Linked DNA regions of Neurospora crassa OR74A. The protein of the gene in region 1 interacts with the protein of each later gene in a pairwise test. Links are inferred from orthologs where the notes say so. Each region holds a gene or a part of one and is shown on either strand. Other genes may lie near its edges.

The links. The genes of interacting proteins can lie anywhere in the genome.
Region 2: the proteins of rho-1 (region 1) and rgf1 interact in a two-hybrid assay, tested with the Saccharomyces cerevisiae proteins (3 studies listed by BioGRID, with this or other methods). The link is inferred for Neurospora crassa OR74A from reciprocal best matches to the Saccharomyces cerevisiae genes RHO1 and ROM2.

What each region holds. Positions count from the first base shown.
Region 1 is NC_026502.1:3,340,894-3,344,999, reverse strand, and holds rho-1 (rho-type GTPase), read right to left. Parts: upstream 2,801-4,106; 5' UTR 2,339-2,800; coding exon 2,268-2,338; intron 2,132-2,267; coding exon 2,104-2,131; intron 1,840-2,103; coding exon 1,642-1,839; intron 1,571-1,641; coding exon 1,436-1,570; intron 1,335-1,435; coding exon 1,179-1,334; 3' UTR 300-1,178; downstream 1-299. UniProt on the Saccharomyces cerevisiae protein: Acts as a central regulator in the cell wall integrity signaling pathway, which is regulated by the cell cycle and in response to various types of cell wall stress.
Region 2 is NC_026501.1:7,628,792-7,632,731, reverse strand, and holds the start of rgf1 (rho guanyl nucleotide exchange factor), read left to right. Parts: upstream 1-1,140; 5' UTR 1,141-1,623; coding exon 1,624-3,940. UniProt on the Saccharomyces cerevisiae protein: Stimulates the exchange of RHO1 GDP-bound form into GTP-bound form.

The sequences.
Region 1 (4,106 bases):
TTCCCCCCTCTGTTGGCTATGATGAAGAAGTCCCAGAGAGTGTTCGAGATGCAAAGTGTATAATGTATGGCACATCATAGCTTACTTGCAAGTGTTAGCTTCGTTGGCTGTCAAGACCAATCATGCCTTTCTGGCATACCTCACGCGCTGAGTGTGATGACTCGGGAACATTAACTAGGTTTACCCTTGATAGACATGACGTCCTTCATTCAATCAACTGTTTCACGTTTGGGTCTGGAGCTGGCGGCGGCCTCTCCCGTCGGATTGCATAGTCGGCAAAGCGTGATGATTACTGAACTTCGGATTCAAAGACTAAGTAGACAAACGGGCTGACTGACGTAGAAGAAGTCTGTGCTCGTGTCAGTGGTTGACATGAGTATTGCAAGAGGGGACGGGCAATGAATGGTCTGAGGATGTACAGTAGGTAACAGCAATTGTCGTCAACGGTCTATGGAAGTAGCAGGGACATTCGGCGGCCTCGCCATGCCGATCGCCCAAACTATACGGAACATTCAATCTCAAAATCCCAATTTGAACCATGCAGCGGCAGCAGCAGACGGAGACAGATAAACAAGAACGCGATAAAACTAGAGATTAATAACAGACAGGTAGACACAGAGAGAGAGATAAGAGACAGACGCACACGGGCAGTGACAGAGAAAGAGAAATAAAGGAGACAGGTAAGGGGGGCCAGAGACGCGGCATGTGATTCCAGAAGAAACAAGAAATATTGAACCGCAAAACTCCTTTCTCCAGTCTTTCTCTTTCCCTTTACCGCCCTCAGGTGTCCTCCGTTTGTGTATACATGAACACAAGCCACGCACCCGTCCACGCCGACCACACACACACACAGAAATAGTGGAAAGGAGTCCAGACCCAGTTATCCTCCCTAAATATCGAGTAGTAAGGCCCATAAGTATCCCCGAAATCCCAAGCCCCTCCCCATTTGCGCTCTCCACACCCCTTTCTTCTTCTCTCTGTGAAATATTATCCGCTCGGTAGCAGCATTGACGGCGTCATGGGCAGAGAATTATCAACTAAGGTGATGATCATCTTTCGCTTTGAAAACCGTTGCTTGATTACATGTTGCGAGGCTATCCGGGGAGGGCTTGGTGCAGATGATGTTGTTCGTCGTGCGGTAGAAATAAAAGCATCTCTCTAAAGAGCTGTGGGTTTGTTTAGACCGAGCTCTTGCAGAGGCCCCTCTTCGTCTTTGTCTTCTTGAGAAGGGCGGCTCTTGTCGCGTTCTCGAACACCTCACGGACACCCTCGTTGGTCTTGGCCGAGCACTCGAGGTACTTGTGGGCGTTGATCCTCTTCCTCAGAGCCTCACCCTGTTGATGAGCGCGTTAGCATACATTCCCGAGCAAGCGGAGGGAAAGCACTTGGAAACAAAAGGGGCATCATCAGCCGCCAATGTCTCAGCCTCACGTACCTCTTCGGGGGAAACGGGCTTCTGGCTGGTCTTGCGGAGCTCCTCAATGGTCTTGGGGTCGTGGCGCAAATCCTTCTTGCAGCCAACGAGGATGATTGGAACGTCACGGCAGAAGTGAAGAACCTCAGAGTGCCACTGTTTTTGATTGTTAGCGAATTGTAGCCTCAAAGACAAGGGCGCGCCAAGTAAGCAGGCGGGATACTGACCTTCTCGGAAACGTTGTCGAGCGAATCGGGAGAGTCGATGGCGAAGCAGATCAAGACGACGTGAGAGTCGGGGTAGGACAGGGGACGGAGACGGTCATAATCCTCCTGACCAGCCGTATCCCATAGCGCGAGCTCGACGTGTCTGCCATCAACCTCGACATCGGCGACGTAGTTCTCGAAAACGGTAGGGACGTAGACCTGGGCGCAGAGAGTTAGCTGGCTGAGCAGCGCTTATTCGGATGCGGATATGATGGCGACAGGGCGGGTGTTTCGAATTTGATGGCTTGATGGTTCATCGGGCTGAGGAGATGGATGTAGCCTGTTCGGGGGGGGAGGCGAGACGCGGGAATTGGCAGGAAGATGCGTGTTTCGTCAGGCGGTTGGGGCGGTGTAGCGAACAGACGGTCGAGGGCAGGTGTGTAGATGGACGTCTCAGTCCCGACAGACAAGTGCCTGACTTACCTCGGGGAAGGTTCCCTTGGAGAAGACGCTGGAAATTCGGTTAGCAAAAAGGTTGTGATGGGGGGAGAGCGGCGGTGACGACGACGACGACGACAACGACGACGACGCGCGCCTTATAAGAGCAGCATCAATCTCTTGGATGTGGATAGGGGAAATGGACATACATCAACAAACAGGTCTTGCCGCAGGCACCATCGCCAACGATGACGAGCTTTCGGCGGAGTTCAGCAGACATGGCGTCGGTTTGGTGGTTGTGTGAATAGGGGAGGAGAGATTAAGTTGTTTAGTTGAGTTGAGTGATGTCGACGGACGGTGCTTTGTTCGTTGTCGACGGGTTGTATGCAAAGGACGGGAGAGGGTATCACGCGGCCTGGATTTGGTCGATAAAAGATGCAAAATGGAAAAGGGAAGGAAAATGGAGATGGGGGTGTTGGGTGGTTGTTGAAGGATGGACGGTGGTGGTGGTAGGTAGGTAGGTAGTGGCCGCTGGTGGTGTGCTAACCTGTTCAAGTTGTGAGTTGTGTTGTGACGGAGACGGAGACGGGGAACGGGGACGGGGGGACCACCAGATAGCCAGGTGCAGGACTCCCACGGGCAAGGTTGGAAGAGGGTGGAAACCTTAGCCAGCGAACCAGGGCCGGGCAGTCAGACTGGGCTGGGAGGGCAGTGGGTGCTGCCGTGTGTGGTGAGGTGAGCGAGGCAGTGGGTAGCCCCAGAGAAGCCCCAGGGAACGGGCGGGCTGTCCAGGCACAGGCAGTCACTCAGTCGGGTTCACACAGTCCCATCTGGCAGCAGTCGCAGCCTGGAGGCTACAGGTACTGTGTGGTAAGAGGAAGGCAGACGACACCTACCGACCTAATTTTTCATCCAACACACTAGGTCCCTACCTAGATACTGCATTTTGTGTCGGAATACCCCATCACTTGTACAGGAGCCGGTAGGGGTGCGAGACGAGCCAAGAGCAAAGGGCCAGACAAGGGAGGTGCTGGCTTGATGTGACTTGTGAGTGGCCCGAATCCTCAGCAAGCGGTACGTACCGGTCCTCTTCTACAATTAACACCGTCACCTCCATTACCGTAATTCAGCTATTTGCACGCGAAAAGAGAGCTGATTTTGGTGATATTAATAGTGGACCGACCTTGAAATCGTCGTCGTCATGTTCCTTCCTGTTCCCCTTTTTCGCTACCCCGGACTTGCTGCATAAGGCTAATAAGGCCATCTCCCGAACATGACTCTCGACCTTTTTTTTTTTTTTTGTTTCTTCAACTTTGATGACAAGCGCAAAAGTGCACGGTGGGGACGGGCCAAATTACCACTCGAACCACTTTTAGACATCCATACCGCAGTAATCCGACACCCGACACGCTGCGCTGGCTCGGCTGGCTGTCGATCAAAGGGGGAAAGCACGCGCTGCTGCCGTGGCCCCCCAGGATTTTAGTAGTGTACTCAGAGGAAGTGGAAGCTTTGCGAGCGAGCGAAGGCAGGCGAGGCGAGTCTCCAGCAGCAAAGATGGTCCAGTGGGCGGCGGCGATAACTGCTAATCTCCAGACTGCCTGCCCAGAACCCCTGAACCAACGCCAAAAGGTACAGGAACAGGCACAGTGCGCCATGGGCCTCTTCCTTCCGGTCGCCTATTTTGGGTGTCCCTAGTGTACACTACATAGGTAGTAATTTGCTGATAGCTCTGGGCTTTGTTCTCAGCCATCCATTATCAGGGTCCAGGACTCTCTTGACAGTCTAGTAGTGAACATGGAGGAAGGGGATGGGGTGGGAGGAAGGACGGGACATGATATTAAAAACATGGAAGCTCCTGTCTTGTTGGCATACGCAGTATGTACACCACACTATACCCCATTTCCTCTCGGCTGTCGATACACTACACAGTATATACCAAGAGACGGAGCGGTCAGCAAAGTGTCGGTGCCCAGCCGCATCTAGATAGCAGACCAGTCTCTTGAATTGCGAACATCTCGGTTGCCATGGCATTGACGTGAGCTTGTTGA
Region 2 (3,940 bases), on another chromosome or scaffold:
GACGCTCTCATGATTCTGTTCCCCTTATTTGTGTAAGCTCAACCGTACTTGAACCAGTGCGTTAAAGACATTGATTGCATGGTGTTCTGACATTTCGGGTAACCCTCTCATTGTTCATACGAACCCCGCTTGACGAACACAGTGACAGTAGGATTGACTTGATTGGAGATAGGGCTGCCTCCAACCACCTAACAATGGAATCATATCGTCGAGTCTTTCACACTTCCTCAGCCTTGCTCAGTGCCAATGGCATCATCGCTATTCAACGCCGTGCCACTTGGATGAGAAATTCTCTATACTGGATGATGCTCTATCGCAGATTCCAAAAACAGTCAAGGATGGACTCGAAGTTGTAATAAGTTGAACCCCTTTTGTGCCCCTAGTCGACGGGGAATCGCCTCCCCGCAATTCTAGGAACAACAACGTTCTGACCTGGTGGATCGCCTAACCACCGAGCAACAAGTGACAATTCGATCTCCCCATCGCAAGCTGAACATCAACCCAGTTCATCTCGCTGAACTTCTTGATTAAAATCTCTTGAACCCCAGATCTAGAAAAGTTGACCGGGACATGACTTTTTACGCATCTACACGGCTTCTCCCAGTATAACATCAGCCCCCATTCCGTATCACAACCGCCCGGAAGTGCAACAAAACGACCTCGGAGCGCACGCGGGCATAGGTATTTTGCTGCACCCTCGTAAACAATCCGACTGATCGGCCATCTGGCGGCACAGCCAACCCGGGCAGGACAAGCTATCAAGAACGGGGGATGTGATAGGACAGCCCATCTAGAATAATACCATCCTCCTCCCTCCATCTTGACGTTCCATCTTCACGTTCTTGTTGTATCGTGATGTTTCTCATTTTTGACCAGACCACTGCCATGCTTGGCGTATCTGCCTCTTCACCTGCACCTACCTCTAACATCTGAACATCAAAAGTTAGGTAGCTAGCTGTGGTCAAGAGTCCCGTCGTTGATCCAGATGCAGCCAACCAAGGAAGACGGGACCAGATCAAAGCCCACGCTGGTTCCTGATGCTCCACTTTTGATTGCAAATGGCCCCTGTAGAAGCCCTGCGCTCAGTGGTCGGTCATTCGGTCGGGTCCCATCAGCCATCCCATCAGCCATCATCCACCGCACACCTCTGCCCTGGCCTGGCTGTAGGAGTGTAGTTCGACATTCCAGCCCCGTACCCGTACATTGGCGACCTTGACCCTTCAGTTCCTCTCCCCCTCTCCGTCTCCGTCTCCGTCTCCGTCCCCGTCCCCGTCTACCGTGTTCCAATCGACGACAGAGAGGTAGACCAACTGAAGGCCGTGCTTCTTGCTGCGCAGGTGGTCGGCTACACTTGGCGAGTAGATTGCAGATTGCCTGCACAGTTTCGTACCTCTACCGAATCGACCTGTCCATCAGACCTACCTACCTACCTACCTACCTACCCTACCGTACCTGTACAGCGCCCCAGCACCGCCGCCGACCGAAGAACAATCGAAATACCTACGACAGGAGCGAGCGAGCGAGCGAGCACCTCGCATCAACCTCTAGCCTGCATCGCACCAGCAGCACCACCCGACTCGCCTCCCTCGCCAGCCGTCCGCCCGCCCGCCCGCCGCCGCCGTCATGGCCGACTATCATCAAGACCCCCGGTCCCGATCCAATCACCCGCAGTACGGCCCTCCCCCCGGCAGTCGCGGTGGTGACGGCTACGGACAACGAGATGCCGCCTTCTCCAACATCTTCGGCGCCGCCCCGCCCCCCGGCCGATCGCATACCATGACTTCCTCCGTCCCACCCCCTATGATGCACCTCAACGAGGGCCGAACCCATACCATGTCGTCCACGTCGGGAGCCTCCATGCAGAGACCGCCGCAACAGCGCCCCCCACCGCCCGGCGGACCCGGAGGAGGAGGCAGTGGATCAGGGGAAAGAGGAGGCTATGGTGACCCCCGGGCGCGCCTTGACACGAATGGATACGGCCAGAGCCAGCGCTCCGTCTCCGCCGGACAGCAAGTTCCCTCTGCTCAGTACCTACAACAACAACAAGCGGCGCGACGACCCCCTCCTGGCGCCTACCCCCCTCAACATGCTCCGAGGGGCGACTCTGTGAGGGCCGATTCTCTTAGGGGCCCTGCGCCCCAGGGTTTCTACAACAATGCCTCGCGATCTCCTGCCCAGGCTTATTACAACCAGCCGGGGGGCAGACCGGCGCCGGCCTTGAACTCCGACCCCTACCGATCACAGTCGCTTGCGAGCGTTCCCCGGCCACAGATGTATCAGGGTTCGACCCCGCAACAGTCGCCAGCCAACGCTTTCCGCCAGGCTCAATACACTGGGAGCTCGGCTCGGACAACCGCACAGGGGCGCATTGTGCCCGAGAGGCATATGGAAGACCGTGCCATGTCCATGACCGGCTACCCCTCATACGACCGCGATGCCCACCAAACTCCTAGCGGAAGAGTCATACCCAACAGGAGGGCACCAGGATCCAGCCCAGACCATGGCCCTGCCCCTTCGCAATACCCAGCTCCCGGAAGCCAGTCGGGAAGAACGGTCAGCATCACGTCCACGACAACCGTCGACCCGAATGGGCGAACCATGTCCATGGCGTCCACTATCGCTCCTTCGATAGCGCCGACGGAACGGAACGAAGATGGGACCTTGGTACATCGCTACTCGGGCGGCGCATCGTCCATGACGGGCGACCGGCCCGTTACCGTCAAAATCAGGATGCCTCTGGTATACCCGGCTCTTCTGTCCCGCGTGGCCGAAACGTTCCGGCGCAAGATTGTTGTAGGAGATAGGACCAAGAACGAACTGACCTACAAGAACGCTTTCAGCGGTGCCGAAGCCGTCGATGTGCTGTCATACATTATCAGGACGACGGATCGAAACTTGGCCCTGTTGCTGGGTAGAGCTTTGGACGCCCAAAAGTTCTTCCACGATGTTACCTACGAACACCGCCTGAGAGATTCAACCTACGAAATGTACCAATTCAGGGAAACACTGACCGATGACGAGAAGCCAGCGGTCAATGGTGTTTTTGTCCTGCTATCCGAATGTTACTCTCCAACATGCACACCCGATCAGCTCTGCTACTCTATCGCATGCCCTCGCCGTCTCGAGCAAATGGCCAAGCTGAACCTGAAGGGAGGAATTGGCCTCAAGCAAGAAGGAAAAGCCGCGGTCAACGATGACGATGTTGACCAGACCGACGAGCAAAAGTTGTGGATTAACAGCGTACCAAAGGAGATTGCGGACAGTATCGGCGACAGAGAGAAGAAGAGGCAAGAGGTTATTAGTGAGATCTGCTACACAGAAAGGGACTTTGTCAAGGATCTCGAGTATCTGCGAGATTTCTGGATCTACCCTCTCAAGGGCAAGATCAACGGCCATTCTCCGATTCCTCTACAACGGCGGGAGCGCGTTGTACGGACAATCTTCACCAACATTATCGATCCTCCAAGCATTCACGGCGTCAGTTCAAAGTTCGCCAAGAGTCTCACTGAACGGCAACAAAAGACGCCAGTCGTTCAAAATATTGGAGATATCTTTTTGGAATTTGTCCCTCAATTCGAACCATTCATCCTTTACGGTGCGAAGCAGCTGGAAGGCAAATTCGAATTCGAGAACGAACGGTCCATCAACAAGGACTTTGCAAGATTTGTGGACGAGGTTGAACGCCGCAGAGAGTCGAGAAAGCTGGAGCTGAACGGTTACCTCACCAAGCCAACCACACGTCTGGCGAGATATCCTCTACTTCTAGAAAACGTTCTCAAGTATACGGAAGAAGGTAATCCGGACAAGGAGGATCTTCCCAAGGTCCTGACTATGATCAGAGATCTCTTGAGCAGGGTTAACGCGGAGTCGGGCAAGGCTGAAAACCGCTTCAACCTGCGCCGTCTGCACGAGCAGCTCAAGTTCCGCCCCAACGACAAGA